4 linked regions of the Lytechinus pictus genome follow. The protein of the gene in region 1 purifies or fractionates together with the protein of each later gene. This does not show direct contact. Links are inferred from orthologs where the notes say so. Each region holds a gene or a part of one and is shown in the gene's direction. Other genes may lie near its edges.

What was found.
Region 2: the proteins of cell division cycle protein 27 homolog (region 1) and dual specificity protein kinase TTK-like purify together in Homo sapiens (affinity purification with western blotting; 3 studies listed by BioGRID). This does not show direct contact. The link is inferred for Lytechinus pictus from reciprocal best matches to the Homo sapiens genes CDC27 and TTK.
Region 3: the proteins of cell division cycle protein 27 homolog (region 1) and mitotic spindle assembly checkpoint protein MAD2A-like purify together in Homo sapiens (affinity purification with western blotting; 29 studies listed by BioGRID and IntAct, with this or other methods). This does not show direct contact. The link is inferred for Lytechinus pictus from reciprocal best matches to the Homo sapiens genes CDC27 and MAD2L1.
Region 4: the proteins of cell division cycle protein 27 homolog (region 1) and anaphase-promoting complex subunit 7-like purify together in Homo sapiens (affinity purification with western blotting; 23 studies listed by BioGRID and IntAct, with this or other methods). This does not show direct contact. The link is inferred for Lytechinus pictus from reciprocal best matches to the Homo sapiens genes CDC27 and ANAPC7.

What each region holds. Positions count from the first base shown.
Region 1 is NC_087245.1:15,602,461-15,610,081, reverse strand, and holds the start of cell division cycle protein 27 homolog, read left to right. Parts: upstream 1-4,617; 5' UTR 4,618-4,693; intron 4,694-6,131; 5' UTR 6,132-6,190; coding exon 6,191-6,279; intron 6,280-6,740; coding exon 6,741-6,866; intron 6,867-7,621. UniProt on the Homo sapiens protein: Component of the anaphase promoting complex/cyclosome (APC/C), a cell cycle-regulated E3 ubiquitin ligase that controls progression through mitosis and the G1 phase of the cell cycle.
Region 2 is NC_087248.1:13,113,381-13,120,460, forward strand, and holds the start of dual specificity protein kinase TTK-like, read left to right. Parts: upstream 1-4,076; 5' UTR 4,077-4,148; coding exon 4,149-4,218; intron 4,219-4,995; coding exon 4,996-5,221; intron 5,222-5,810; coding exon 5,811-5,917; intron 5,918-6,531; coding exon 6,532-6,672; intron 6,673-7,080.
Region 3 is NC_087262.1:14,784,649-14,791,997, reverse strand, and holds the start of mitotic spindle assembly checkpoint protein MAD2A-like, read left to right. Parts: upstream 1-4,329; 5' UTR 4,330-4,691; intron 4,692-4,928; 5' UTR 4,929-5,191; coding exon 5,192-5,267; intron 5,268-7,199; coding exon 7,200-7,346; intron 7,347-7,349. UniProt on the Homo sapiens protein: Component of the spindle-assembly checkpoint that prevents the onset of anaphase until all chromosomes are properly aligned at the metaphase plate.
Region 4 is NC_087246.1:28,910,634-28,917,630, forward strand, and holds the start of anaphase-promoting complex subunit 7-like, read left to right. Parts: upstream 1-3,969; 5' UTR 3,970-4,072; coding exon 4,073-4,144; intron 4,145-6,997. UniProt on the Homo sapiens protein: Component of the anaphase promoting complex/cyclosome (APC/C), a cell cycle-regulated E3 ubiquitin ligase that controls progression through mitosis and the G1 phase of the cell cycle.

The sequences.
Region 1 (7,621 bases):
CTATAAATTCTAGACATTGCTTGTACTAACATGACTAATAAGACATGAAAATCAAACATTCCGAGCAATTTTGTTATGAAAAAGATGTGCATCTAATTGAAGAATGGACGCGAGCGCGATATTCCAACCAGAAAACTGGACATTCTAAGCACTTTTTTAACCCAAGAACTTAATTGTGTGTCTTAATAAATAATAATTGATGCGAAGCGCGGCGAGCCGAAAATTTGTAATATTTCAACCTGAAAACTGGATATTCTAAGCAGTTTGAAACCAAGAACATAATGTGTACCTTTGATGCGAGCGGAAAGCGCGAGCTGAAGATTTGTGACATTTAAACCTGAAAATTGAACATTATAAGCACAAGTTGTAACCAAAACAAAGTGAGTGCCTTCCTAAAAAATAAATGATGTGGGCGCGAAGCGCGAGCCAAAAATTTTGTGATTTCCAACCTAAAATGTATCGTTTGACTTCAAAAAGGGTATTTTATTTTGAAAAGGGACATTCATGTACATCATTTTGAAATAAGTGCACTCTCCATTTAAAAAAGGCATTTTTTCCTACTGGGATTTTTTTATGTATAGGGGGTTAAGTGCCCCTGCCGCCCCCCGGTTCCGCCGCCCCTGCTGCTAATATAGCCTCGGGTTATAATTTTTATCTAAGTTCAAACTGGTATTAACAAAAATATGTTGGTATGACTGCATTTTATAACGATGGTTTTCTTTAAAATATATATTTTTTACCATTTCGATCCATCACATTTTTGCATTTTTTTGTCCGTCGATATGCCCAGCGCTGAGAGGTCATGCCAAAACGTGATTTTGCATGAAGTACATTCTCTGAACCATCATCGGAACTTCGGAATCACACAGAGATGGAAGACCCCTTCCCCCAAATAGTTCCGCCTAGCTGTATGTCCTCGAATATATATATATATATTTAATAAGACATCAGAAATGCGAAACACAAATTCACGAGTAATGCAGTTTTTGCAATAAAATTTGCAATTTTATTATATATATATCACCATGATAAGTACGTAATTTTATTATCCGAGCACATGCAGCCGACCGAGGAGGAGTGGGTGGAGGGAGAGGCACCTAGGAGACGTCATACTTGTTCTTGTTCAGTATACTACCATAACAAGTTGAAAAGAAAAATGCAAAGAGAAACTTGGAGGGGGATCGATGTTACATGGTTATAACATACAGACCTACGCACCGGTATCATAGGCGGATCCAGGAGGCCGACGTTACGCCCCCCCCCCCCCCCCCGATATTGGCGGCGCAAAGTAATATGAACGAAAGCAGAGGGGGGGGGGGGGTGACAAAATATAAGAGGAAGAATGAATAAAAAAAGGTGAGGGGAATTCAGACTTGGGGAGGGGTGGGAGCCAATCATGTCACTACACAAGTATAAAAACAATTTAGCCCGCGCTTTGTGTTCGCATTGCCTGTTCGATGGAACATATATTCATCTATACCAATTCATTTATTGATTTATTCATTCAGTCATGGTTAAACAGGTTCACAAGTTCAGAGTTATTAGTATATAAAATCATAGTAACAAGTACAATGACAAGGTATAATTCATATCGAAATAGTATGAGACATAAAGAAATATTAACTGATCAATGTAATACAAAACACGGAAACATTGTTGAAGGGCTTATAGTAAAACGAACAAGGGAACTAAATAGGCCTTTACTTATTCAAATTTTTGAGCACCTTATCCGTCAGTGTGCATCTTAATTGTTTAATGATCATATTGCTCAGATCAATTTTCAGGACACAATATACACAGTCCGAAAATAATACCTCACGCTCGCATTTTTTATAGGGTTTAGTACTGTTACGACTATAGATTCCAACAAAAACTAGCTTTGAGCTGCCGATCGATCGGGAAAAATGTGGATGAAAATATTGTTCACCCCGGCCCCGTTATTAGTGAAAGCTGGATCCGCCCCAGAATATATTGTTTAAAAAAAAAGGCATAGGCCACGCGGTATTTGTCATTTTTTTGTGATAAATACATTGAGGCAGTATATTGACAAATAATCACTGGAAGAGAAAGAGCATCTTATAGGCCTATATAACGCACAAAGCAAAATAATGAAGAATGGCGGCAAAGCTAGTTCAATACAAAATGATTTCCTTTTCCTTTAAAAAAAAATGTTACAACACGTTATAATAATGAACAAATCAAAATACAGAACCTGAAGAAATTGATAACGATTCAGTGAATCGGAATCGAAACAAAAATGCGTATGTAAATATAATTATAAAATAGAAATAAAAAACGGGGAAAAAAATAAGAATAGCCCTTTCACAAGCAACCATAATTCTCCCTCCCTTCATACCCTGGACAAGTAAAGAAAAAAAAATACAGCTAGAGAAACGAAGCAAAGATGAAAAGCAAGGAAAGGGAAGGAAGCCGTCTCTCGGTACCTGGTACTCTGCCCAGATATCAAGATGTACGTCTAGGACCTATTCTCCGCGATTTGAAAAACAACGTGCATAACATCACAATTATTATGATGGTCATTTAAAAAAGTTCCTTGGTTGTTTCCAAGTTATTTAAATTGCCGTCGAGGGACTGCGCGAATGCACACGCTCCTACAGGATATGAATGAAAAAGTCGCAAACAGACTCCGCCGTTCAATCCGATACTGTACTGTATAGCCGGTATACAGATCGGCACGTGAGACAAGCGCAGAGGCGATGGATATGAATATTCATGAGCAGGTATTGATGTCATTTGGTCTCAAGGTGGCGCTCTTCATTTTTTATATCAATTTCAAAATCTGCATCAAAAGAAAGCTCACTTGGCAAAATTTCTCTTCTTTATATATTTTTTTGAGAATAAAAACAGTTCTTTTGGCCAATGCAATACATTTTATGGACTCAGAACTTGTTTATGAGTATTTTGAAAAGCGAAGAGTGAAATCTAAAAGAAAGTTTTGAAATAAACCAATGTCACAATTTACCTTTAAGGTCACACCACCATAAAGGGTCTGAAAGCCTAGACTAGTCGAAGTATCGGCTTATGGTCGCTAGAAAACCCCTTCCGCTATCAGCGCTTCTCCCTAGCATAGCGGGAAGAATCTTGACTGCAGTTGCAACGACTTGAGTTAAGAAACACTAAAAATAAAAAGATAGATCTAACGTGAGAGAAACAGGAAGTGAATGAACCGGAAGTCTCGACAACCTTTTGTTATTTTGGGTGGCTGTCGCAAGAACTCTTTCCGAAATTGGTATTCTGAATAATTTGATTCTGAGAAGCATACAGTAGCATGGGAGGTCCAGTGTCCGGACACTTTAAAATTTTGCCTTCTTTTTTGTCTTGACTTTGGATTGCACAAAAAATATGAATTCAGTAGTCTAGATCTAACTTTTTAGTGGTAAGATGGTGGTCCTTAAGTCTGCGCATCTAATAATGAGTGAAGATATATGAATTTCTTTTTCTTTCACAAAATCTTTCAGTTAATAATGTTTGTTATATTATGAGTAAGTGTACCAAATATCTCATAAGAATTTGAAAGAAATATAGGATTTTCTTGGAAAAACCTCGGGCAGTCATTTTCAGATTGAAAAAAAAACGGTACCCCATGTCTGAACACCCATTCACTTTACACACGATTCAGGGATTTGATGAGAAAGGGTGCAAATGGTAGATACATGTAATCTATTTTACATGCATACACAGACAATATTCACTGCAGTGTCATTGCAAATTATAGGCATTTTTTAATGTTTTGTTATATCTCATGTTATGTAAAAAGAAATATAAAGAACAAACAAATCAGGATTAAACAGAACAATATTTTTCATCAAAAACTCAATTTACTCACTGGTTAGAGGTGAGAAGAGAACTTAGAGAAGGATAATAAGATGGGATCCTGATTATCAGGAATAAAGTTGCCTTGTGACAGGCCATCACAGACCGCAATAAAAAATTCCAAAAAAGTGGAATAAGCACAATGATGCAAATGAAAAGGAAAAGATTGCAGAAAATACAGATTTTGAATGATTAAAATCATATTCAGAGATGATGCAGCTTTTAAAATTCTGGACAAAATATCAAATGCCTTTGCATTATCTTTTAAATTGTTTGTCAATTAATAGATGTAAAAATTTATAAAGATATGGGAAATTTTGCTGTCCTTTAATGTTTTAATAGTGGCATTAATTTGGTCAATGTCATCAATAACTAATTTTACAATGTACATGTAATCTACCTTGAAAAGTGGGGTAGGTGACTAGGCGTATGTTTGCACTTTGAACAAATTGCCCTCCACTTCCACAAAGATGCCATGATATGAATTACAATGAATATAGGCCATTTATGCACTTTGGCAGTGCTTATTTATAAATTCATGTATTACATTCATGCTGTCTTGAAGGGGGGGGGGATGGGTGATTGTACAGGCCATCCTTCCCTCTCTGAAAAGGTAAGGGGATCTCCCCCTTCCCCTGGCATATACGGGAGCGAATGGTCACTGCAACTTATTGGTTGCATACATTCATTATGCGCGGTGCAGTGCAAGTCAGTGACTCTCGCATGCAGCACATCTTAATTTCACAATTTTCATGTCCTATTCACGTTTCTTTCCTTTTTCAGGCGGCCATCTGGCAGTGCTTAAACCATTATGCCTACGAAGATGCTACCTTTCTGGCAGAGAGACTTTATGCTGAAGGTATGTGTGTTGAAATACAGTTTGTCAAGATGTAAGGGCAGTTTAGCCCCTGAAATGTACAAAAAAAAAATTGAAAAAGACTCAGTAAGTTGCAAAATGGCCCAGGTAAATTATCGGTTATCGGTGTGTACCTATTTCATTGATTTTTGTCTCTCCTGCATAGCAGAGCGAGACTATAGGCGCCGCTTTTCCGACGGCAGCGTCGTCAACATTGAAATCTTAACCAAGGTTAAGTTTTTGAAATTTCATCATAACTTAGAATTATATGGACCTAGTTCATGAAACTTGGACATAAGGGTAATCAAGTACTGAACATCCTGCTTGAGTTTCAGGTCACATGACCAAAGTCAAAGGTCATTCAGGGTCAATGTACTTGGACCATGTTGGAGGAATCAATATCAAAATCTTAACCAAGGTTAAGTTTTTGAAATGTCGTGTGTATCACTGAAGATCCTGCCTGAGTTTCAGGTCACATGACCAAAGTCAAAGGTCACTTAGGGTCAACAAACTTTGACCATGTTGGGGGTATTTGTGGAATTGTCATAACTTTTAAATTTTATGGATCTATTTCATGAAACTTAGACGTAAGAGCAATTATTAAGTATCCCTGAACATCCTGTGTGAGTTTAAGGTCACATGGCCAAGGTCAAAGGTCATTTAATAGGGTCAACAAAATTTTTATAATGTTGGGGGTACTTGTGGAATTGTCATCATAACTTTAAAAGTTTATAGATCTAGTTCATGAAACTTGGACATAAGAGTGTCCATGTATCCCTGAATATCCTGTGCGTGTTTCAGGTCACATGACCAAGATCAAAGGTCATTTATGGTCAATGAACTTTGGCCGTGTTTGGGGTATTTGTTGAATTGGCATCATAACTTAGAAAGTTTATGGATCTACACAAGTAGTTCATGAAACATAGACATACATGTAAGGGTAATCAAATATGAATGATTATTTTGCACACGTCTCAGGTCACATATCGTGGTCAAAGGTCATATTGGGTAAATGGACATACATGTAGTATTTTATTACACTGTTAAAAATGATTTAAACAACGCTGTTTACTATGTGAATGGCACAGTAGTTGTTTAAACATTTTAAACAAGTGTTTAAAATCTTCAACAACAAAGTTTAAATTCAAATTTAATTATTGAAAATTCAAGCATGGTTGTTTAAGATTTTAAACACTTGTTTAAACTGCTTAAACAACTACTGTGCGATTCACATAGTAAACAGCGCTGTTTAACTTATTTTTACCAGTGTATAATATGAGTGTTTTCTTTTGTGAATAATTATTCAGTAGCTGTTTTTAAAGTGAGCACAGCTGCTAATTCGAATCACGTAATACAGGCGGAAGAAATGGATATTTCTGAAGTGTAACATGTAGACCCATTTTTTCCCCCCTGACCATATATCACATGTTCTTTGTTTTAGTTGGGTCAGATGAGGGTCTATTCCTTCTTGCCACCTGTTATTACCGGTCAGGCCAGCCAATGAGTGCCTATACCTTGCTACAGACCAAAGGCTGTCCGACTCCAGCTTGCAGATTCCTTATGGCCAGGTGCTGCCTGGATTTAGAGAAGTGAGTATTAAGTATGACATTTAGGTACTATAGTTAGAAAAGATTTATGCGAGAGTAAGAAGAATTCAGAAATTCACACATTATTAGTGGTTGTCAGATTACCTATTTTTTATATATCATTATTGTCGATCACCAGTGTAGTACACTATATACCAAGTCAATTTTTGCATAATGAGGATTTGTGTGTTTCATTTTGATTTATTTGCTCATTCATGTTGTTATTCCACATAATTTTCTACAACTTAAGTCATTCGTTTTGATTCATTCCTGAACATGCCTTTTTTTATGGTCAATCATATTGTCTGTAACTATGCACAACACAGAAGTACATATTTTACCAATTGTGGAAACGTAAATAAGATTATAATATGCATGTAATACTTCATTGTAATATAGGCAATTATTTTTACCTTGTTCTATTATTATCATTATTAATTTTTTTTTTCTTTAATTTTTTTAAGGCTATCAGACTGTGAAACAGCATTATCAGGATCACCAATAATGAAGCCCAATACGTGTGATGATGTCGTATCATTATTTAAAGAATCAGCACCCTATGCACTCTCAGTACTAGGAAAATTATGCAGGTAATATGTGGCCCCTGGTAGCACAATGCTTAGCAAGGGTTTTACCCCCCGGTAGTGCTGATTTTCACAATTTATTGCATTGATCATTATGTGCAATCATCAAGTGTATGATTAATTACTAAGCTTTGTGTTATGGGCTTCTGGGTTCCAACCCAGCTTCCAATGCCAAACTTGAAACCACCTGTTGTGGTAATTGTACCAGTGATATGCTGAAAAGTCACTGATAACAAGTTACCATTTTCATCGGGTCCCAGTATATTTTCACAGCTTTGTTTGATTATTGAGTGTGAAATGGAAAGTGATTAATACATGCATGCCTTTTGTTTGAAACCTACCTACCTTTCAATAAAAACAATAATGAAATGAATTATTAACGACAGTTTTATTCATTTAAACCATATTAGAATTTACAGTGGTAATTTCTGATGGAATATTCCCTTATAAAATAATAATATTGTATGAATATTTTTATTACAATTATAGTGCATGTATTTTTAGAGTATCATATTCAGCGAACAAGAAGGTCAATTAGGATGTGTTGAATGTTGATTTTTCAAAACGCAGAACTTTATCATGATCATCGGTGCACCATACACAGTCAAAAATTTAAAGCTGATTTATGTTGATTATCTAAATTCCCCTGTTCCATCAGCGCAGCGTACGGCGCAGTTTGACTTGTCACAAGTTAGGTCAATTCTGGCGCACACTTTTCAAAATAATGTGTAAGCTTTCACTGTAAGAGCCCATTTAAAAAG
Region 2 (7,080 bases), on another chromosome or scaffold:
ATGTTCTGAAATCAGCAGCGAATTATTACGTGTGAGGAACTTCGTGTTGGCTCTAAATCATCAATTTTGAGACTGATAGAAGCATGGAAAAGAAGTGAAACTTTGTGTAAAGTAAGAATATTAGTTGTACTTGTTTTTAAAGATCGTGATGTTGCTTAAATTTTGTATTTTCTCCCCATAAAATCCCACCTTTTGTCACTCGGAATATCCGATCGAGTTCATGGTCTCGAAGTTCGGGTAGGTGGAGCGTAGTGTAGCGGTAGTGAAGTGGAGTGGAGCCTGCACGAACTTCGCTCGAGGTATAGGACCCCCTACCATACATGTAGTACCGGGGTATAGCAGTGTATCCCCGGGGGGGGGGGGGCATTACATTGGCGAGTGGATACCATGCGCGACCAAAAAAACACGTAAAAAGGATGTCTTTTTCAAGATAAGGCACGTTACGCACGTAACGTGTTAAACTTAAGGGTGTCAAAAACACAAAAATAATGAAAAAAGGGTATCTATTTCGCTAGGAAAGCTACGTGTTTAGGGTCAAATTTGCGGGGATGATAAAACAAACTTAAAATGTTTTATAAAGGATATCCTTTTTGCCCCAACACTACGTGTTTAGAGTCCAATTTGCGCGAGGTGTGGAAGGTGGGGCCATACTAAACCAAATGGTGTGTAAAGGTAAAACCGACGACCGACGGACCCGTGACATAACAATAAAATATCGCTGTACTCGTTAAGGGGCTCATTTCAGGGAGTAGAGTATCGTTTTGTTTCCAATACTTGTTAAGGGTAGGGTTTCAGACGCCATTACTTGTTAAGGGGTGCATTTTCAGAATATGGAAAATATGTGTTTAGGGTGCTTTTCGAGACCCCATGGTCGCGCATGGTATCCACTCATCAATGGAAGTGGCCCCCCCGGGAGTGTATCCTATACCTCGGGCGATGTTCGTGCAGGCTCCACTTCACTACTGCTACACTACGCTCCACCTACCCGAACATCGGGACCGTGAACCATTTCGGATATACCGAGTTACAAAGGTGGGATGGCAATCATGATAATCGTAAAAATTAAACAAAAAAAAATAAAACAAAAAAGATGATTGACTTTAATAATATCTTACTGTACACCCGTATTTCACTCCGTTTCCATCCTCCGGTGATCCTCAAAATTGGTGATTTTTGGCCAGTATCTTTTTCCTCACACGTATTATTCACGGCCGATTTAAAAACATTGCATGCGATCGCGATCGGTTTGACCTGCGACAGATCGCGATCGCATGCAATGTTTTGAAATCGGCCGTGAATAATACATGTACGTGTGAAAAAAAAAATACTTGCCCAAAATCACCAATTTTGAGGATAACCGGAGGATGGAAACGGAATGAAATACGGGTGTAGAGTAAGATATTAAGTCAATCATCTTTTTCGTTATATTTTTTTGTTTAATTTTTACGATTATCATGATTGCCATCCCACCTTTGTGACTCGGTATATCCGAAATGGTTCAAGGTCCCGATGTTTGGGTAGGTGGAGCGGAGTGTAGCGGTAGTGAAGTGGAGTGGAGCCTGCACGAACATCGCCCGAGGTATGTATCCTATAGTATTGCCGGACACCTTTATTTAAGTGCTTTAAAAATGACATCTAGAGGAAACACAATCAAGAAAAATTCGCACTTGCTATTATGAAAATTATGAATATGATATTACAATTATTGTATATAATATTTACCAACCGTTTTCTTCGCATCGGCATCGCACTTGTCGCATAATAGTTACTACCCCTCCACGAAAAAAAAAAATGTTTTTGAGCGTGACAAATTACATCATGATTATGGACGGGTAAAGATAATGATGTAAGAAAGAATTTGTGTGATTTTTTCTTCATATATCATATCATGAGTAAATTCTAAGTTTACTTTTTGATTGCTTCTTTTTAATATCGAATCTGAGCTGAGCAGATGTTAAATTTGTGTTTGCTATTAAACCACATTTTTTTTTCAATTCAATTTATTCAAATTCCATTCAATAAAAATACAAGATACAACAAAACAATTAAGCATACATAAATATAAAATGAAATTTGGGAGACTGCAAAAGACCAAAAGGTCTTGACGAGGCAGACCCCGAGTGCCATCATGGCAATACATATATTGGCATAGGTTAAAATGATGACATGAACAGGATGAAAAAAATATAAATACGAATGTCCTAACCCCCCCCTCCCCCATCGGGAACTGGAAGCCAGTGTAACAATATATAAATTATCAAAATACACTTTAAGAAGATTTATGAGTCATATGATGATATAATGTGTTTTTTTAGCTTACGTTTAAAAGAATAAAGCGAAGAACATTTTTTAATTTCACAAGGCAGCGAGTGCCAAACATCAGGTCCTCTATGTCTAATGGATTTATAAGCAAGTACTGTTTTGGGATTACTAAGATGAAAATTGTTAGAACCTCTGGTATTGTGTTCATGAACCTGGGTATTGCGTATAAACATTGAATTAAAATTGCTTGGAACCAAGTGATTAGTATAATTGAACATAAAATTTGCAGTTTGTAAGATATTGATATCAGATATTTTTAATATGTTCAGTTTTTTTCTTGTGTGGAGAAATCTTTGAAAACTGAGGTGAGACAGTCCCTGTAAACTTGGACTACATGTACATTATCCTCATTTTCTGACCAGCATCTTGATACTAAAAATATAATTACTTCACTTTACTGTAATTATTATCAGTAACAGTCATAATTTGGATAGAAAAATATGAGATGCAAGCACCCACACTCGTAAAGCTTTGTTTTTAAACTAATACACACAATGCTGCGCCTCTTTGTTTAGTGGATGCCTTGAATCAATCGTTTGTCAAAGCCTGACTTTAAAGGGGAAAAAAGAAAATGCTACTAATGTTAGATTGTGTGGCACAGATAAATCTACAACAGTAGTGATTCTGGAAAATCTGTCAAGATTCAGATTGGACATAAAACAAAGTAATCTTTTTCCTTTGGTCTACATTTTTGGGCAAAAATCGGGCCTTGTATTTTTTCACCACTCTCCTTGCGTACAGTACAGTGTGTGTGCACTTATTTGTTTGACAAAGTCATTGGGAGTGGAAAGATACATACATATATGTATCACCAACCAACGTTCTCGCCAGGTTCATTCTGACGCTTGGCGACGCGAAGCGACGAAGCCGCGCAGTGGCCTCGGTGCGTGCGAAGCACGCACGGGGGGAGGGTTGCGGGAGGGGGGTGTCCCTGACACCAACAGTCCAACACTGACAAACAAAGGCAGTGAATGGACTGGTACCATAGAACTTAATTTCTGTGATCTGCATGTAATACCTAAATATGTTAATATCCCCAGCCGCCATTAGAGCGAAGTCTCCAGTTACAGACCTACAGTAGTGAAACTAAGTAATAGATTCTACATTGTAGTTTGAAAATGTAAATGAGGAGAAAATAATAATATTCCATATAGTTACTTGAAATGTAAAATACAATTAAATGAAATAGTGAGTTTGTGACATCTGTTCCCTCATCCACATACGGCTAGGATGTGCGTACATGTATAACTGTTCTGTGAATTCCGGTGCCAGAGATATTTAAAAATGTCATAACTTTCTCAATTGACATCTGATGTTGATGACTTGAAGCCAGGCATATTTTGTAACACAGAACAAAAACAGAGTCAGGGAATTACCAAATTGGTTGCCACAGTTTGTTAATCACTTCCCTGTTAGGCACTGCAATGATGCCATCGACCTTGTATTACTTGACGTACATGTACATGCAATTTAGCAAAATTTGAAACCGACAAAAATCCACCGGTGTTTAGGCTACAATCTTCCAAGCACGCTGGTGATGTGATTCAATCGCAATGCAAGGCAATTGATTGCATAGTTTCAATTATTTCACATACCGTAATAATCGTACCAGTATCACGGTTATTACTGTCTAGAAAATATTTCATTAAAATAATGTAACTATTGTACTCTGCACAAACTGTGTAGTGTACATGTACATGTAGCTACTGTAGTGCATTAGCGGCTGACAATGATTGGATCTATTTTTTTTTTTACAAATGATATTCTTTTATCCTGTGTGTATAGCAGATTGTTGCTGTTGCATTGTCTGAGGAGACATTGCCAAGATGAGCGGGAACACACGGGATAACACCACTGGCAACCTGACCAGTCTGGCCAGCTTTCACAGTATGACAGGCAAGTTAAAGTTTATTATGTGGCACTCAATGTATACCAAAGGTTCAATATTATTATCAGCAGCGGCCCAGTAGCACAGGGACATGATGGAAGCACTTCACGAAACAAGTGCTCATTGATTTTAACTGAATATTTCAGTCTGAGCCAATCAGATGCAATGATTTCATCAGCTTACAACAAATAGTTTGTGAAAATATTTGACTATTTATTACATGAAATGCCCTCAGGAAACTGAAAATAGATGTCAGGCCACCATTGATTAAAAAAGGGGCATGTTTTGAACTCAGAACTTTATAAAACAATATCTTTTGTTAGCACAATCAGACTTTCAAAAATTCATAGATACATTGGTTCTCTCTGTATTTTGCAATGATGATCATCCAGAAAATAAAGATAAAAACTTACTTGCCTTGTGATAAACGCACCTGGGTCCCATTGCAGAAAGATTTTAGTTTAAACGCAAGTAAAAAAATGTTCCAAATGCACGATTATAAATGGATGAAAATCAAGTTGCATATGATTTTTAGAGTTGCGTTTGATTGAAAATCTTTCTGCAATGGGCACCAGGGCTCCGTAACACAAAGGTCTGCGATGAATTTCCAATATGAAAGAACCACGCTGATTGTTCCCAGTCAGTATTTTAAACAGAGTGCGCATGCAACGATTATCTTGATTGGTAATTTGTATTTAGCGATTGATTGAAAAACTTTGTGTTACATAGCCCAGATGATATTGTATTGATCCATATAAAAAATGAATGTTCTCTTTCATTCACAGACCACACAGAATGGATGTCAGAGCTTGATAGGCATGGTAACAAACCCAATGAATGGCTCGCTTACCTCTCCCTGGTAGAATCACACACCTTACATGCAGAGGAGACCAGTCGCTACAGGTTCCTGAGTCTCGCCTACAACCGTGCCACTAAGCAGATCCCCATCGACAAGTACCGCGACGACCCGGCCTACGCCAGGATCTTCATCAAGCTTGCTCACCTCAAAGCGTAAGCATCAGTTGTTCTGACATTCTGGGGCCCCGTAACACAAAGGTTAGCGATCAATCGCTGATTTGAAAGATCAGTTCTGATTGGTTCTTCGTCGGCCTACTGAGCAAAATGCACATGCAACGATGATCATGATAGGCCATTTCATTTAGCGATTAATCACTAACCTCTGTGTTACAGGGCTCTGTACGTGTATATTCACTCACGCAGAGATGCCAAGTTCAAAGACCAGCTACATGTATGCATCAGACTTTCATGTTGCTCGGCATGTGGTCACAGGCATTATGTATGTGTATGAGGATAGACTCTGATACAGGCGTGAGAAGAAGATTTTAGAGGATGAACAAGAGTCCCAAAGGTGGGATTCTCTTGCCTAAAATGTGAGACTATGTCTGCTCACAGGTTATGTTCACCTCAACAGGTCGATGGGAATAATACATACAGAGAAAATCAAGCAGGCATATCTGAAATTTCAACCAAATGGGATATAAAATGTGAAATTTATGTTTATTCTGAAGTTTCACTTAATATTGCATATGATATGTACATGTAAACGAGGCATAAATCCTAAATATTGTTTCTTTCCTAGTACCCGTGATGTGGATGACGGACGCTTGATGTTCAAGTTTGCCCGGGCCAATGTCAGAAAGCAAGCCATTGTTCATCTGGAGGCTGCAAAGTTTGAAGAAACCCATGGTAAATAATATAGTATATGAGAATGGCCGAAGTCCATGATAGTTCATTTCTAGTAAATCAATCAAAATGAAACTATTTTTATGTTAGTCCAGTGAGGATTTGGTTGTATAAATTACACACCGAATGGGCTTGTGTTTAGGCAAAAACAAATTTTGTATGAGCTTTCTGTATTTAACTCCATTTACCCTATAGATGGACTTGGTTAATTGTTATTTTTCGTAATAAATACTCAATTATAAAATAATACATGAATGTTAAGTGTGAGATGCATTGGAAATTCAGTTATTAATAATTATGAAATGAGTATGAAAGTGTTCAATGTGTTATGAAATGCAAGCTTGCACGTATGAATCGTGAAATGCATGACTTGGCAATGGCCCACGATCTGAAAAATCAGTGCTGCACGCACACCTTGTTAAAAAGACCATCCTTGAATCAGTCAGAATCATTGTTTCCTATCAAAACATTCCATCTAAACCTTTTACGAGACCCAGATGTTGTTCAAGAATTAGAAGTTGCACATGTCTTTTGTTATTTGTTTTCATGCACAACACAACATTTTAAAAATGACTGATCAATATTAAATACTGTACTTCATGTTTCTGTCCCCTCAGGTGATGTTAAGAAATGTCTGAGTATCCTGGAGAAGGGTCTGAAAGTGACCTCTGACCCGAAGCTGACCGAGGCCATTCACCGGGTCAAGAACGGACTTCCCATTCTCATTGATTCACAAGAAGCTATGGACTCCCATGATGGTCAGTTATATTTTGTCATATCGACTGCAATTGAGTTCTATATCATTTGTATATCGTGGTGGTGGTGCAGGAATATCCCTTAGCATCACACTTCCGCGTACCCTATCAGTGCAGAAACGCCCTTGCGCAATGCCTTTATGGGCGCAACTAAGGGAGTTTTCGCTGCGCGAAAATATGGTGCTAAGGGCGTTCCTGCAACAACACAACAATATAATACATGTATGTGCTGTTGAGTCATTTCTGATGACCTCATGGACAAACTTTTCCCATGCTGCTTCATCCTGAGCTAGCATGCCGCTTCTCTCAAAGATTTGCCTTACATACATGTTTTTGCATTTTAATGCATGCGATAGAGTACATCTTATGATCAATATATAAATGTAATCAGCAATATTAATACAAATCATT
Region 3 (7,349 bases), on another chromosome or scaffold:
AGCGCGAGCAGAATTTTTTTGACATCCCGACCCAAAACCTGATATTCTAAAGCACTTTTTGTAACCATGAACATGCAAGATGGGTATACCCATATCTATCTAAACAATTGATGTAAGCGCGAAGCGCGAGCTGAAATATTTTGGTAATCTGACCTAAAATCTAGACATTCTTAGCTCTTTTGGTAATCATGAACAGAATGGCTATCGAACTAAACATTGTATGCGAGCGTGAAGCGCGAGGTGAAAATTTTGGATATTCCGACCCAAACCTGAGGATTCTAAAGCACTTTTTGTGACCATGAACGCGATGGGTATCTTTCTAAACAATTGATGCGAGCGCGAAGCGCGAGCAAAAAAAAAGATATCCGGACCCCAAAGCTCAGATTCTATGCACTTTTTGAAACGATGAACAGGATTTTTGTTTTGTAATAATATTTATTAATCATTCAGTTCAAAGTAATGGTACATTGTAAAATATTACAAATCAATATTAACAAAACACTGTTCACAAAAGACAAATAATTATCCATAATACAAATAATCGTTCATGTCATGGTATTAACATATATGATATACAGTGGATAAATTCAGTAACAAAAATCAACAATTAATAACCAATATAAATTCACAAAATCATACAATAGCTATGCAGAAAATTGATTGCTCGACATTGATTAAACTGAATGAAATTTATAATATAAAAAAAACCGGAAAGGGTTCGAGAGCTCACTCCCCACACACGTCCATAAAATAACGAAATCGCTCTCACACCCAACCCCCCCCCACACACACACACAGACAAGACACAAAACAATTAGACAATACAAACAAAAACAATACAAAAAATAAGAAAAGCAGGAAGAAGGAAAGAAAGAAAGAAAGAGAGAGAGAGAGAGAGAGAAAAAGAAAAAAAAAGAGAAAGAAAGAAAGGAGATAAGTGACATGCAAAGTAAAGAAAAGCGGACAGTTTATAGTGACAGACAGACCAGCCAACCCCGCACGTGTGCAAACCGGATAAAGCCATCCCTTCCTCATCCTACTTAATTAATTGCTTTTTAGGTGTTCCCACTTTTTATAGTGCTGTGTTAATGTTTTTCGCTCTATAGCAATTTTCTTTTCTTCTTCTTTACTTTTAAAAAGCTTTACTTTTATCTCTTCAGCAGTTGGTAGTTTATGATTCCCCCTTCCGTGATATATTAAAAATTTGATAAGTAAAATGATATGATTTAATAATTGTCTATTTTCTGTCGTCTCTTCTAATCCAACATGGATATCCTTCCACTGTAAGCTTTTAAGAATCGGAAATTTTAATATATTGCTACACAATTTCCATAATACTTTAACCATTTCACATTCGTAAAAAAATATGTCTATAAGTTTCTTCATCTTTACCGCAAAAAGAACATTCATTACTCGATACAAATCGAAACCTATATAAATGGTGGTTAACAAAGATAATATTGTATAATAATTTATATTGAAACTCTCTTAACTTATTATCTAATGTGCAAAATCTTGGACGATAAAATACTTTTTCAATTTCTTTTTCAGACATGTTATATGACGATTCGAGATTGTAAAAACTGACAGGAGTGTCGGCAATCTTGTTTATACATGATCTATACAGCTGTTTTGAACAAACTGACTCAAACTGGAAAACATTTTTAAAGAAAATAAATTCAATCTTCAAACCATCAACTAAGGTATTATTTTTTAATTCGACTTTCCATTCTACAGGAACATGTGCAAATATTTCATTAATTGTTACTATTTCGTCGTCATTTACACCCATAGATCTAAAATAAGTATTTGATTTAAGTTCACCGTGTTCATCTACAATATGGTGCAATTTGTATGTGTTTTTTAAGAAAATATTTTCATGAAAATACGCTTTTCCTTCATTTTTAATATACCTGTTATTGAAAAAAATTTCATTTCTTTTATTACTTATGTCCTTTTTGATGAACACAGTTATATCAAACCAAATACTTAACATTTCCTGGTAGTACTTTGGAATTTTTATATTGATCATATCAGGTGTAAAATTACAGTAAAAAATTAAATTACCACCTAATGGTCTTAGCAGAAATTTGAAATATTTTTTCCATTTCACTTTCTGGTCACCGTTTACCAGTCTTTTGACCCACATCACTCTCTGTACCATTACAAAAAGTTTAAAATTGAGCATTTTTATTCCCCCTTGTTTATATCCCAGATACAATGTGTTTCTTTTAATTTTATCTTTTCCTCGCCATAAAAAGTCGAAACAAATTTCTTCAATTTCTTTAAAAGCCCATTCCGGCATAGGCGTTAAAGAACTTACATAAATCAATTTAGAAAATGCATATGTTTTTAGCAGATGAATCTTTCCAAACAAAGTTAGATCTCTTTGTTTCCACCAATTTAATAACTTTTTAATTTTGCTTAATATTTCTTTATAATTCATTTCTTCAGCAACGTCAGGATTTAATGAAAAGACAATACCTAGAATTTTAACCATATCAACTTGTTTCCCAAAAGGGAAAGGGTGAGTAAGGCTTACAGAGGGTCCTAGAGGCAAAATAAACGTTTTATTTTTGTTCATCCTAAGTCCAGATGTCTTCCTAAAATTTTCAAGAATTAATTCTAGTCTATATACTGAATCTAAATCTTCTACGAATATAGTCATATCATCAGCATAAAGTATTTGTTTAACTTCCGTTTCACCAAATCGAATACCCTTTACTAAATTATCATTACGAATACAATGCGTTAAACATTCTATACAAAGTATAAAAAGGTAAGGGGAGAGGGGATCCCCTTGTCTTAGCCCCCTCTCGATTGCAAAATAACCGGTCGATTTCCCCCCATTAAAGACACAACTCAGCGAGTTGGTATAAAGAACATTAACCCAGTTACTAAAAATCGGCCCAAAACCAAACGATTTAAGCACCCTTTGAAGGAAGGAATGTGAAATTGAGTCAAACGCCTTTTCAAAATCGATTGCAACTAAGTATCCTGGTTTATTAAAATTTGATGTATGAAAAATCATATCGTTTATTATTCTTACAGCATCGCCAATATTCCTATTAGTTAAGTAACCTACTTGGTCGCCTGACACAATATTATCCAAAATGGTCTTAATTCTTTTAGAAAGTATTTTGGTTAGGATTTTATAATCTACATTAAGCAAGGAAATTGGTCTATAATTGCTAATAAACATCGGATCTTTACCTTCCTTATGTATAATTGTAATTATTGCTTGTTTTTGTGAAGGTGACAATTCTTTATATTTCATAGCATCATTAAAAGCATTTAAGACTAGGTCACCTATTACCTGCCAAAATGTAATATAAAACTCGACATTTAAACCGTCATTTCCTGGTGATTTATTTAATTGCATTTCTTTTAAAATTTCAATACAATCCCCCTGGTTTATTTTCACTTCGCAATGATTTCTTTGGTTTTCGCTTAGTTTTGGTAAGTTACTAGGAAAAAAACAGTCACCAGGTTCTACCTCTCCTTTAGAATATAAGGAAGAATAAAATTCTTTTATTTCTTTTAAAATACTAGTTTCGTCATTAATTACATTTCCATTAACTTTAAGTTCTTTAATAAAACCTTTCCGACCATTATAATCTACCAGTTGTTTAAAATATGCAGTTTCTCGTTCTCCACTTTCAAACCATGGGGCTCGAGATCTGATTTTAATACCTTCATTTAAGTACGCATATATTGTTTTTAGCTCACTTCTTTTTCTTGCCAAAAGATCAATCAAAATATAATTTGTGTTCGATGATGTTTGCTGTAATTGAACTTTCTCTTCCAATTTCATAATTTCCTTTTCTAACTTATCAACCTTCTCTTTTCTTTCTTTAGCTTTTTTCTTAGAATATTTTCTTGTGAAATTTCGAATTTCCATTTTAACATAATCCCACAGTATTCTATTATCCATAATCTCTTCAGACAGCTGAAGTTTTAGACGAGTTATTTCCTCTTTCAGGATGGTCACGATGCGATCATCGATGCGATCGATGAGCGAGATGCTGACTTGAAACGGTAACACTTGAATTACTGCATTATTGCATTATGAAGGGTAATAAATAAATCCCGTCCGCCCGCGGAAGCATGGGTGTATACCGCCAAGATGTTCTAATTATAATTTACCGTTAGCATGGCCCTGGGAAGCGGGGGCGCTGGGATGAAGCACCCCAAAATTTTCTTTGGGAGTGCTGCTGGGGCAGCAACCCAGGAATTATGTTAGGTGTTAAAACTAATGGAGAAAGGTTACGATAATTACCTACACTCATGTAGTGAAAACCTTTTTTTTAAACATATTTTTTCTTTTTTGCTTGTCAAATTACGTACATCAGCACCCCCAGTAAAAAAAATCGTTCTATAGCACAGGGCCCTGAATATTAGAGATTAGTATGCTGTGCAAACCCTTCACTCAAGTTAAGGGTCTGAATGTGCAGCTAACTGATGCATTGTGCACTGAAGGCCCTCTCACTCGGGAATTGAAACAGCAAGTTAGTCTTTGCGTGGAAAACTTGTGGATGTGTTGAAGGTCTAGTCCACCCCAACAAAATGCTGAAAATTTTATCAAAATCGGATGTCAAATAAGAAAGTTATGACATTTCAAAGTTTCGCTTATTTTTAAAAAAATAGTTATATGAACGAGCCAGTTACATCCAAATTAGAGAGTCGATGATGTCACTCACTCACTATTTCTTTTGTTTTTTATTGTTTGAATTATACAATATTTCAATTTTTACGAATTTGACGATTAGGACCTCCTTGTCTGAACCACAAAATGTTAGAATAATGGAATTCCACGTATTCAGGGAGGAATGAAACTTCATTTCACATGACAATGACGAGAAAATCAAAATATTTAATAATTCATATAATAAAATACAAAAGAAATAGTGAGTGAGTGATGTCATCAGTTCCCTCATTTGCATACCGACCGGGATGTGCATATAACTATTTTGTGATATTAAGCGAAATGTTAACACGTCATAACTTTCTCATTTTCCATCCGATTTTGATAAATTTTCAATGTTTTGCTTGTTGGATTTTTCTCTTTTTATTCGAATCAAGGCAAGGTCTGACGTGACATGCCTGCAGAGTCTAGACTAGTACGACCCTGGAGGCTGGATATATAGACCAATCACATCACGTTGTTTACAAGCTCGGAGAAGATCGAAAAATGGCGGGGACAGCTACTAAAACTAAAAACACAATTACCTTGAAAGGATCAAGTGAAATTGTTGCAGAATTCTTCTGTGAGTATCTTTCCAACTCAAGCGATATTATTCCTTAGATGACGGTAAATTCCCAGTTGAAGCGATGAATTTAAAGAAGTTTAGTTCAGTGGAGCGCTCGAGGGAGAGTTACGCGCATGGAGTTAGTTCAGTCCCATTCGTTGTGAATTGTGCCATGTTCAAAATCTTATGATGCTGATTGCATAAATTTAATTTATTGTCGACCTGTCAATTTCCTTGATATTGTAATTGAGTTTTTGCTACAGATGTAACTTTTAGAGTACTAGACTGTAATGTGGCATTCTTAATTTGACCCCCCCTCGAATTTTCCGCTATGCCGCAGCGCAAATTTTTTTGAACGCGTCGCCGTCGCTCGCTGACTTTACTTTCAAATTCAAGTCTTGCTCATCTTTTGAGACCGATTTTGCCTCGCCCAAGTACCGTATGGGCACTAGTATTCAACCCGGCATAATTCAAAGATTTTGACAAATTCCCCCAAATATTTAGAAATAGGTCTGATTAGGGAATTCATCTTAATTTCAGAATCATACCTTTGAGTTGACTATTTCCAGGGTAATCTGTTGTCGGTATTTTCTTTAAAGTTATCAATCTGTCGACTGTATGCGTGAAGGATCGAATTATGCGGCGATGACCTTTTGCACTGAATTGCACTAGTATTCAACCTAGTGATGATAGATAGCGAATCTCAAAATGGTTTAGATTGCTAAACTAGATCTATGTAAGTCTCTGGCGCTGGCTTTGATTAATTACCTGTTTATGTTTGGTCTCGTCTCAAATGATCTAGTCCATTGTCGGATGGGACAAGGTCAAGGGCAGATTGAGAGACAGGGCCATCTTTCATCGCTAGGTTGAATACTAGTGCCAAAAACCATCGTTGTATAATTCGATTGCCCGCACACATAGTTGATGGGTTGAAGGAAAAAATAACGGAAAAAGAATAACCAGTATGCAGTATTTGCTCTTTAGTCTTGGAAATAAGATGGGTCTGAAATTCAGGTTAATTCTATATTTCTATATATTTGAGGAAACTCTCCAAACGGGTTCAATACTAGTGCCCTTACGGTACCCGTTTCCGAAATTACGCGATATTTTGTAAGTGCATGGCGGTCCAAAAATTGCTCAAAAACGTGATTAAGTCAATGCAAATTGTGTTTTTCAACCAAAAATCATCATCATAAATGATTATTTTTACTTTTGTTGGTGTCTAACGTTAGACCTAGATCAGTAGATGGATTTATTTTATGATATTTATGAATGCAAAAGGGTCCCAGACAGAGTTCATAAAAAAAAACAATAAAAAACAAAGGTTTGAAAAAACAAATAAATACATAAGAATAAAAAAAAACGGCCTTATCGTGAAATTTGTCACCTCTCTTGTCGTGTGTGTCGGTGTGTGTGCGATCGTTGTGTACAAAGTCAATGGGAGTGGAAAGATGTCACCACCGCTGACGAAATAAAAGGCAATGAATGGACTGGTGACATAAACCACGATAATGCCAAAAAAACAATAAGAAATTAAGATAGATCTACATAGACTATAGGAAATTAATTATTTTTCAGCAATTTTTTTGTAGATTTTTGTTAGAAATGTAAAAATCTATATGTTCACCAAAAATTTGCATTCTACTAGCTATATAAATTGAGTTATTAAAGGCAAAAACATACACAAAAACCAAAATTAGGGCAAATTTCATACGCTTATTTGCTTAATTAATAAAAAATATAAGCAATTAATTTTTTGAAAATTTTACTTTATAATCTTGCAGTTTACATCCGGCTCTATGTGCGTGCAAATTTTCACAGCAATCACGCAATCAACAGCCGAGATCTGAGTGGGGGGGGGGGGTGAAATTCCCCCCCCCCCCCCCAGTATATGTTGGTCTGAAATGGCCCAGTTAAAATGGGTTTAGTAATTGTGTTTTCTTTCTCTAGATTATGGCATCAATAACTTGTTGTACCAGCGTGGCATCTATCCAGCAGAGACATTTGCAAGATGCGACATGTATAAGTTACCCCTTCTGACGACCACAGATGAACACCTCAAAGCTTACCTGTCAACGGTCATGGATCAACTCAAAGGTT
Region 4 (6,997 bases), on another chromosome or scaffold:
TGGTAACTGCAGTTCTGTTGTCCTCTGACAGTTGGTGTTGTAATGATGTGATTGGCAGTGTGTGGACGTCATGTTATAAGAGAAAAAAGAAAGTTAAAGTGACAGTGTTGGCTTTGAAATGGACTCAACCTATGAAAGTTAAAGTTTGTGCTGCAGAAACTGGTGTGGTAGTGGGATGATAATGATGATGAGGAACATGGCCGGTATTCAATGCTACTCTTAAAACCACAATTCTAAGTATATTTTACTCAGTATTTTGCAAAAGTAAAGTACTTATCCATCTTTGGTATTCAATTGCATTTTTTTTTGGCTAAATATTTTGCTTAAATGTAAGTCAGCCATCTACTAGTCTTAAGTCTACATATACAAAAATGATACGCACAGAAATACATTCACATATTTGGCACTATTTGGCTCAAAATTTATAACATCACAATGGGTATTAGTATTTACTTCAATTTGGATAAGGTAAATTCTGAGATCTGATCTGCATCAAGTTTAAGCATTTTGTTAAGCCAGCCAAATTGCTAAGTAAAATACTTACAAAATGAAAACTTAGAATTTAATAGGCGGCCGAGGTATTATTTTTTTTCCAGAGGACATGTTCAGATTTCTTGTTGACAAAGGATGACGACGTGATGATTATTTTGCATAACCTGGCTTATCAAAAAATATATTATGTATATTCCATTTCAGTGATAATTGCATTTTTGGGGAGGGGATATTACATATTTGGGGAATAGAAATGTTCAAAATTAATGCATACTTAACCTAATTACGCAGGGGGGGGGGGGGGGGGGGGCTCTGAGCTCTGTGATTTAAAAAAAAAGTCTTTTGCATGTTTTGCGAAGCCCGGGTACTGGGTTCTGAAAATTACCAAACAATTTGAAGGTACATATCAGACAAAAATGACTCAAAATTGTGATATTTGTGTATACCACGTCAATGGAATATGCGTTTTCAACCAAAATTCATAAATGCCTAATTGTTTTTAGTTTTGTTGAACTAAACTGATTTATTTTATGCTGTTACGAGAGTCCCAGCAAAGTTCGTTGAAAAAAAAAACAATGCAATACAAAAGTACAAAACCCAAGAATTATTAAAAAAAACACCACAAAGAGTTTCTAAACCAAAAATTAGACCATTTGGAGCTTTATTTGGGGAGTTAGAGGAATTGGTATAGTATACTAATTATGCACAAATGAGCATAATCAATTAATATCAATTTGCATGAAATAAGTAACTACACAATTTTGTGGATTATTACAAGCAATTGCAATCTATTTCTTCACTATTCATTGTTTTTAGAAACCTCATTGTAGACTTGCCTCATGCACCTCCTCTCAAGTTGGCTTCATCATTTGAATTATATTCTACACTTATCATTCTTTAAAAAAAAATCATTGTAGACTTGCCTCACCTCCTCTCAAGTTGGCTTTACCATAATATTCATTCTTTGTTAAAACATCATTTTACACTTGCCTCACCTCCTCTCAAGTTGGCTTTACAATACCCTTTTCGTTAAAACATCATTGTACACTTGCCTCACCTCCTTTCAAGTTTGCTTCTACATAATATCCATTATTTGTTAAAACATCATTTTACACTTGCCTCACCTCTCAAGTTGGCTTCACCATAATTTGTAGTACAGTTTATTCTTTTTAAAAACCTCCATTGAAACTTGCCTCGCCTCCTTTTAAATTTGTAGTAGGGTTTATTCTTTAAAAAAACCTCCATTGAAACTTGCCTCACCTCCTTTTAAATTCGCTTCACCATAATTTGTAGTACAGTTTATTCTTAAAAAAAACCTCCATTGAAACTTGCCTCACCTCCTTTTAAATTCGCTTCACCATAATGCAGTCTATTCTTTTTAAAAACCTCCATTGAAACTTGTTTCACCTCCTTTTAAATTTGTAGTACAGTTTATTCTTTTAAAAAACCTCCATTGAAACTTGCCTCACCTCCTTTTAAATTCGCTTCACCATAATTTGTAGTACAGTTTATTCTTTTTAAAAACCTCCATTGAAACTTGCCTCACCTCCTTTTAAATTCGCTTCACCATAATTTGTAGTACAGTTTATTCTTTTTAAAAACCTCCATTGAAACTTGCCTCACCTCCATTTAAATTTTGTAGTACAGTTTATTCTCTTTAAAAACCTCCATTGAAACTTGCCTCACCTCCTTTTAAATTGGCTTCACCATAATACAGTTTATTCTTTTTAAAAACCTGCATTGAAACTTGCCTCGCCTCCTTTTAAATTTGTAGTAGGGTTTATTCTTTTAAAAAAACCTCCATTGAAACTTGCCTCACCTCCTTTTAAATTCGCTTCACCATATAATGCAGTCTATTCTTTTTAAAAACCTCCATTGAAACTTGTTTCACCTCCTTTTAAATTTGTAGTACAGTTTATTCTTTTAAAAAACCTCAATTGAAACTTGCCTCACCTCCTTTTAAATTCGCTTCACCATAATTTGTAGTACAGTTTATTCTTTTTAAAAACCTCCATTGAAACTTGCCTCACCTCCTTTTAAATTCGCTTCACCATAATTTGTAGTACAGTTTATTCTTTTTAAAAACCTCCATTGAAACTTGCCTCACCTCCATTTAAATTTGTAGTACAGTTTATTCTCTTTAAAAACCTCCATTGAAACTTGCCTCGCCTCCTTTTAAATTGGCTTCACCATAATACAGTTTATTCTTTAAAAAAAACCTCCATTGAAACTTGCCTCACCTCCTTTTAAATTGGCTTCACCATAATTTGTAGTACAGTTTATTCTTTTTAAAAACCTCCATTGAAACTTGCCTCACCTCCTTTTAAATTCGCTTCACCATAATTTGTAGTACAGTTTATTCTTTTTAAAAACCTCCATTGAAACTTGCCTCACCTCCATTTAAATTTGTAGTACAGTTTATTCTCTTTAAAAACCTCCATTGAAACTTGCCTCGCCTCCTTTTAAATTGGCTTCACCATAATACAGTTTATTCTTTAAAAAAAACCTCCATTGAAACTTGCCTCACCTCCTTTTAAATTGGCTTCACCATAATTTGTAGTACAGTTTATAAAAACCTCCATTGAAACTTGCCTCTCCTCCTTTTAAATTTGTAGTACAGTTTATGCTTTTTAAAAGCCTCCATAGAAACTTGCCTCACCTCCTTTTAAATTGGCTTCACCATAATACTGTTTATTCTTTTAAAAAACCTCCATTGAAACTTGCCTCGCCTCCTTTTAAATTTGTAGTACAGTTTATGCTTTTTAAAAGCCTCCATTGAAACTTGCCTCACCTCCTTTTAAATTGGCTTCACCATAATTTGTAGTACAGTTTATTCTTTTTAAAAACCTCCATTGAAACTTGCCTCACCTCCTTTTAAATTGCATGGCTTCACCATAATACAGTTTATTCTTTTTAAAAGCTTCCATTGAAACTTGCCTCGCCTCCTTTTAAATTTGTAGTACAGTTTATTCTTTTTAAAAACCTCCATTGAAACTTGCCTCACCTCCTTTTAAATTGGCTTCACCATTATAATATTCAGGTAAGGTATATTCATTCTCTTTTTTAAACATCATTGTTCGCTATAAGCTTAATCCCTCACCTAGATCAATTGGCTATATATAATACCTTTTATTCTACATTATTCTTCCCTAAAAAAAAAACATTGTACTCCTGCCTCCCCTGATCTGACATTTGCCTCTCAACGTACTGTACATAGTGTTATTATCTCTTTATATCGGAAACTTCGTTTTACCGAATTGCCATGCACTCTCTCCGACGCGGTTTGTAGAACAGCATGGAATACTACCAGCCGATGGTACACACACACACACGTTATTTGACAACTTGTCTCTGTCCAGAGCCAAAGTTCCTCGCATATAACTTTCTGCATGCCAGCTGTACTCAGTGTGTATTGAACACGCACGACCACGATCTAATGAATATTCATCGGCGAGAGTGACGTAATTTTACGAGTCTCCTTTCAAACTTGGTTCATAAGTGCCTACCTTGAATTTGGGAGTGTGAATTTTACACTTGTTAACAAGTTAAGCACAGCAAGTAGGAAGAAAAAACCGTCAGAATGGGTGTCTGGTTGATGGATCACATTCGCCTCCTGCGAAAGGAAGGACTCTTTGGAAATTTGTCTATTTTGGTAAGGCATGAAGTTTCTGAAGTACTGCACACTCCGGTCTCCGTCTACTACATAGACGTACCGGTAGTGTAGTAGGATTCTAGGAAGCATCCTCAGTCCCATTCATGATTTTTTGTGATGTGTCTGCATATCATATACCCAGTTGTTGTGTGTCCGGACAGGTTGTGTGTCCGGATGATCAATTTTAGAAAGTCATTTGGAAAAAATTACAAGCGAAGTTTCATCAAATTTTAGTACAAAATTTTAGAAAATATTATAGAGAACAAAATAGAAGATGATTACAACTATTGAATTCATATTTTTAGTGTAATCTTAAGACAAAAAAGAAGGCTTCAAAAATATAAAGTGTCCGGACACCCGATCCCCCATCCTACAAGTCAAGAGATATAGGGCCTAGCTAATAACGCTAGAGAGGGCGTACTTCGTCCAATCCCTGTGGGTGTCACGCGTACGCGCGTAAAACATTCCCCATAGTCTTTAGACTTGTGCGTTAAAATGGCACTTTTGAAAAATTCATAAAAAATAAATGTGAAATTTAGAGGGGGTCGAATGTTTACTACCTTTGGCTTTGCCTCTGACTTGAGCCTTGAGGACTCCATGTCTGATATTTTGTAATATTTTGACATATACTTCTACAGACATGGGGCCTGTTGCATGACGAGATGAGCAATACGTAGGAAAGTCCTAGGACCATTCTTCCGAGATAGGAAGATTGGCGACAAATCAGCGCTTTCCGTTTCACGAAGGCAATTTTGTCTTTCAAGTCCGCGACATCGTTTGATATCGATATAGTATCGGAAAAATATTTAGTCTTCATCGTCACCTGAACCTTTTATTTCGGAATGACGACTTTTCATAAAATCATATATTTCAGTAAAATGGGATCAAATAATGTTTTATTTATTACTGATTGTAGAATTTATGGAGCGTACTTTATGAGGTAAAAAGAGGAAAAAAAATCAAGATTCACAAACAACTGGGGCGGTATTCTGAAAACCGTGTTAGCACAAAAACGGTGTTAGCTAACACGATTGGTATTCTGAAAATCGTGTTAGCATGAAAAACACGTGGCCCAACGCGCAACCCCCATACGCGGTGTTAGGGAGGAAGAAAACACGATATTGGTGTTAGCTAAAATTTTGTTCAAAGATAACACGAACATTTAACACTGCATTAAGGAGAGGTTAAGTTGTGGATGACGATGGCTGCACTTTTTCTAGCAGACGCAAACGTCAAAAAGAACATATACGAGCATATGTATATCGTCTGGCAGAATTTACTGTACTTTTCTTTCATTTTCCAGCTTTATTTTCCATCTACCTATCTCTCTACTAACAATGATAAAACAACATTTTCTTTGGAATATCCTGTGAAAATACACTTCAAATGCATCTTTGATTTTGATTAATTGAAATATTTATCATAAATGCTCATAAGTTATTTATTTGGTTACTTTTTGCAATATTATAAAAAAAGACGGATGGAGAGGAAGAAACTTTAAAACGTCTAAAAAACACAAACAGAAATTAAAAAGAATGGAATTGGCGATTTGGGAACTCTTCTATAATATTCACAATTTTTTTACCCTTTTTCAATGGTTATATAGTTCCAATAATTACACCTTTTTAACTCTCAATGCTTCTAGGTTATCCTTAATTCATCTATCCCACCAGTCAATCTATATGCTTCGGATCAGGGGGGGGGGCGGGCAAAAGTGATTTTTTTTTTTGGCTGATCGATCGCTATACGCATCCAATATTTTAATAAAGAAAAAAAATTACAATTTTGTATGTTTGATATTTCTATGTCAGATTTAATTTTTCTTAAGTGCTATTCATGCTTTTCAAAATTTACATTTCAAATATATTTTTTCATGAATTATGCTTGCCCTCATATTTTAGGGGCGATCGTCCCCTGCCTGCTCCCCAATCGACCGAGGCATCTGTCTCCTGTCATAATTTTGTATCCACGCCGTCTGACTCCATTCTGTGTTCTGTTCTGTGTATACACGTTGTATCTACATATGTGTGTAAACCAGTGAAAGAAGAATTTCCTCTATGGACAATATAGTTATTCAATTCAATATTTCAATTCAATTAAATTCTTAATTGTCACAATCACCCCTCCCTGTGTCTATTTCCAGCCCTAACTTTTATTTAGCTGTATGCGCTTACAAAATGATGTCACAATGCAGGTTTCGTGTCACCGAGCGCGCAATTCCCCTTTTCCCTGAAAATTTTGCGCGATTTGTTTCTTTAACAGCGCATTTGATTGGATTAAATAGATGCAGAGTGGGAGGAGCTGAAGATAACACGAAATGAGATAACATGCAGATAACACGCTTTTCAGAATACCGATTTGGGGGTATGTTAGGGGCGTGTTAAATCAGAGAGATAACACGATATTTAACACGAAAATTAACACGATTTTCAGAATACCGCCCCTGGATAAAATCGAAATTTTCATTATTTCCCTTATTAAGAACACGGTGTCCTTTTAGAGACACCTTTCATTGATATTTCAACGAAAGAGACCCTTGTCCGACATAAAAATTGATTTAACTAAGTAATTTCAACATTTTATTAGTTCAATATACTGATTTTTTCTAGAATACATATGCATGTATATAATGATGATTTTGCAAATTATGCGTTAATATGTTATCTGTTGAGGTAAAAATAGGGTTTGAATGGAGTAAATAAAATCAACAGTGTCTGATTGTATGAGACTTAAAAGGAAAATATGAGAGGCTGCCTGTGAGAAATCTAATTTATTTATTTTATTTATCAGATGTAATTCAAGAAATACAAATGTGAGTGTTTAGAGTATAAACATACCTCAGTTGCATGATGA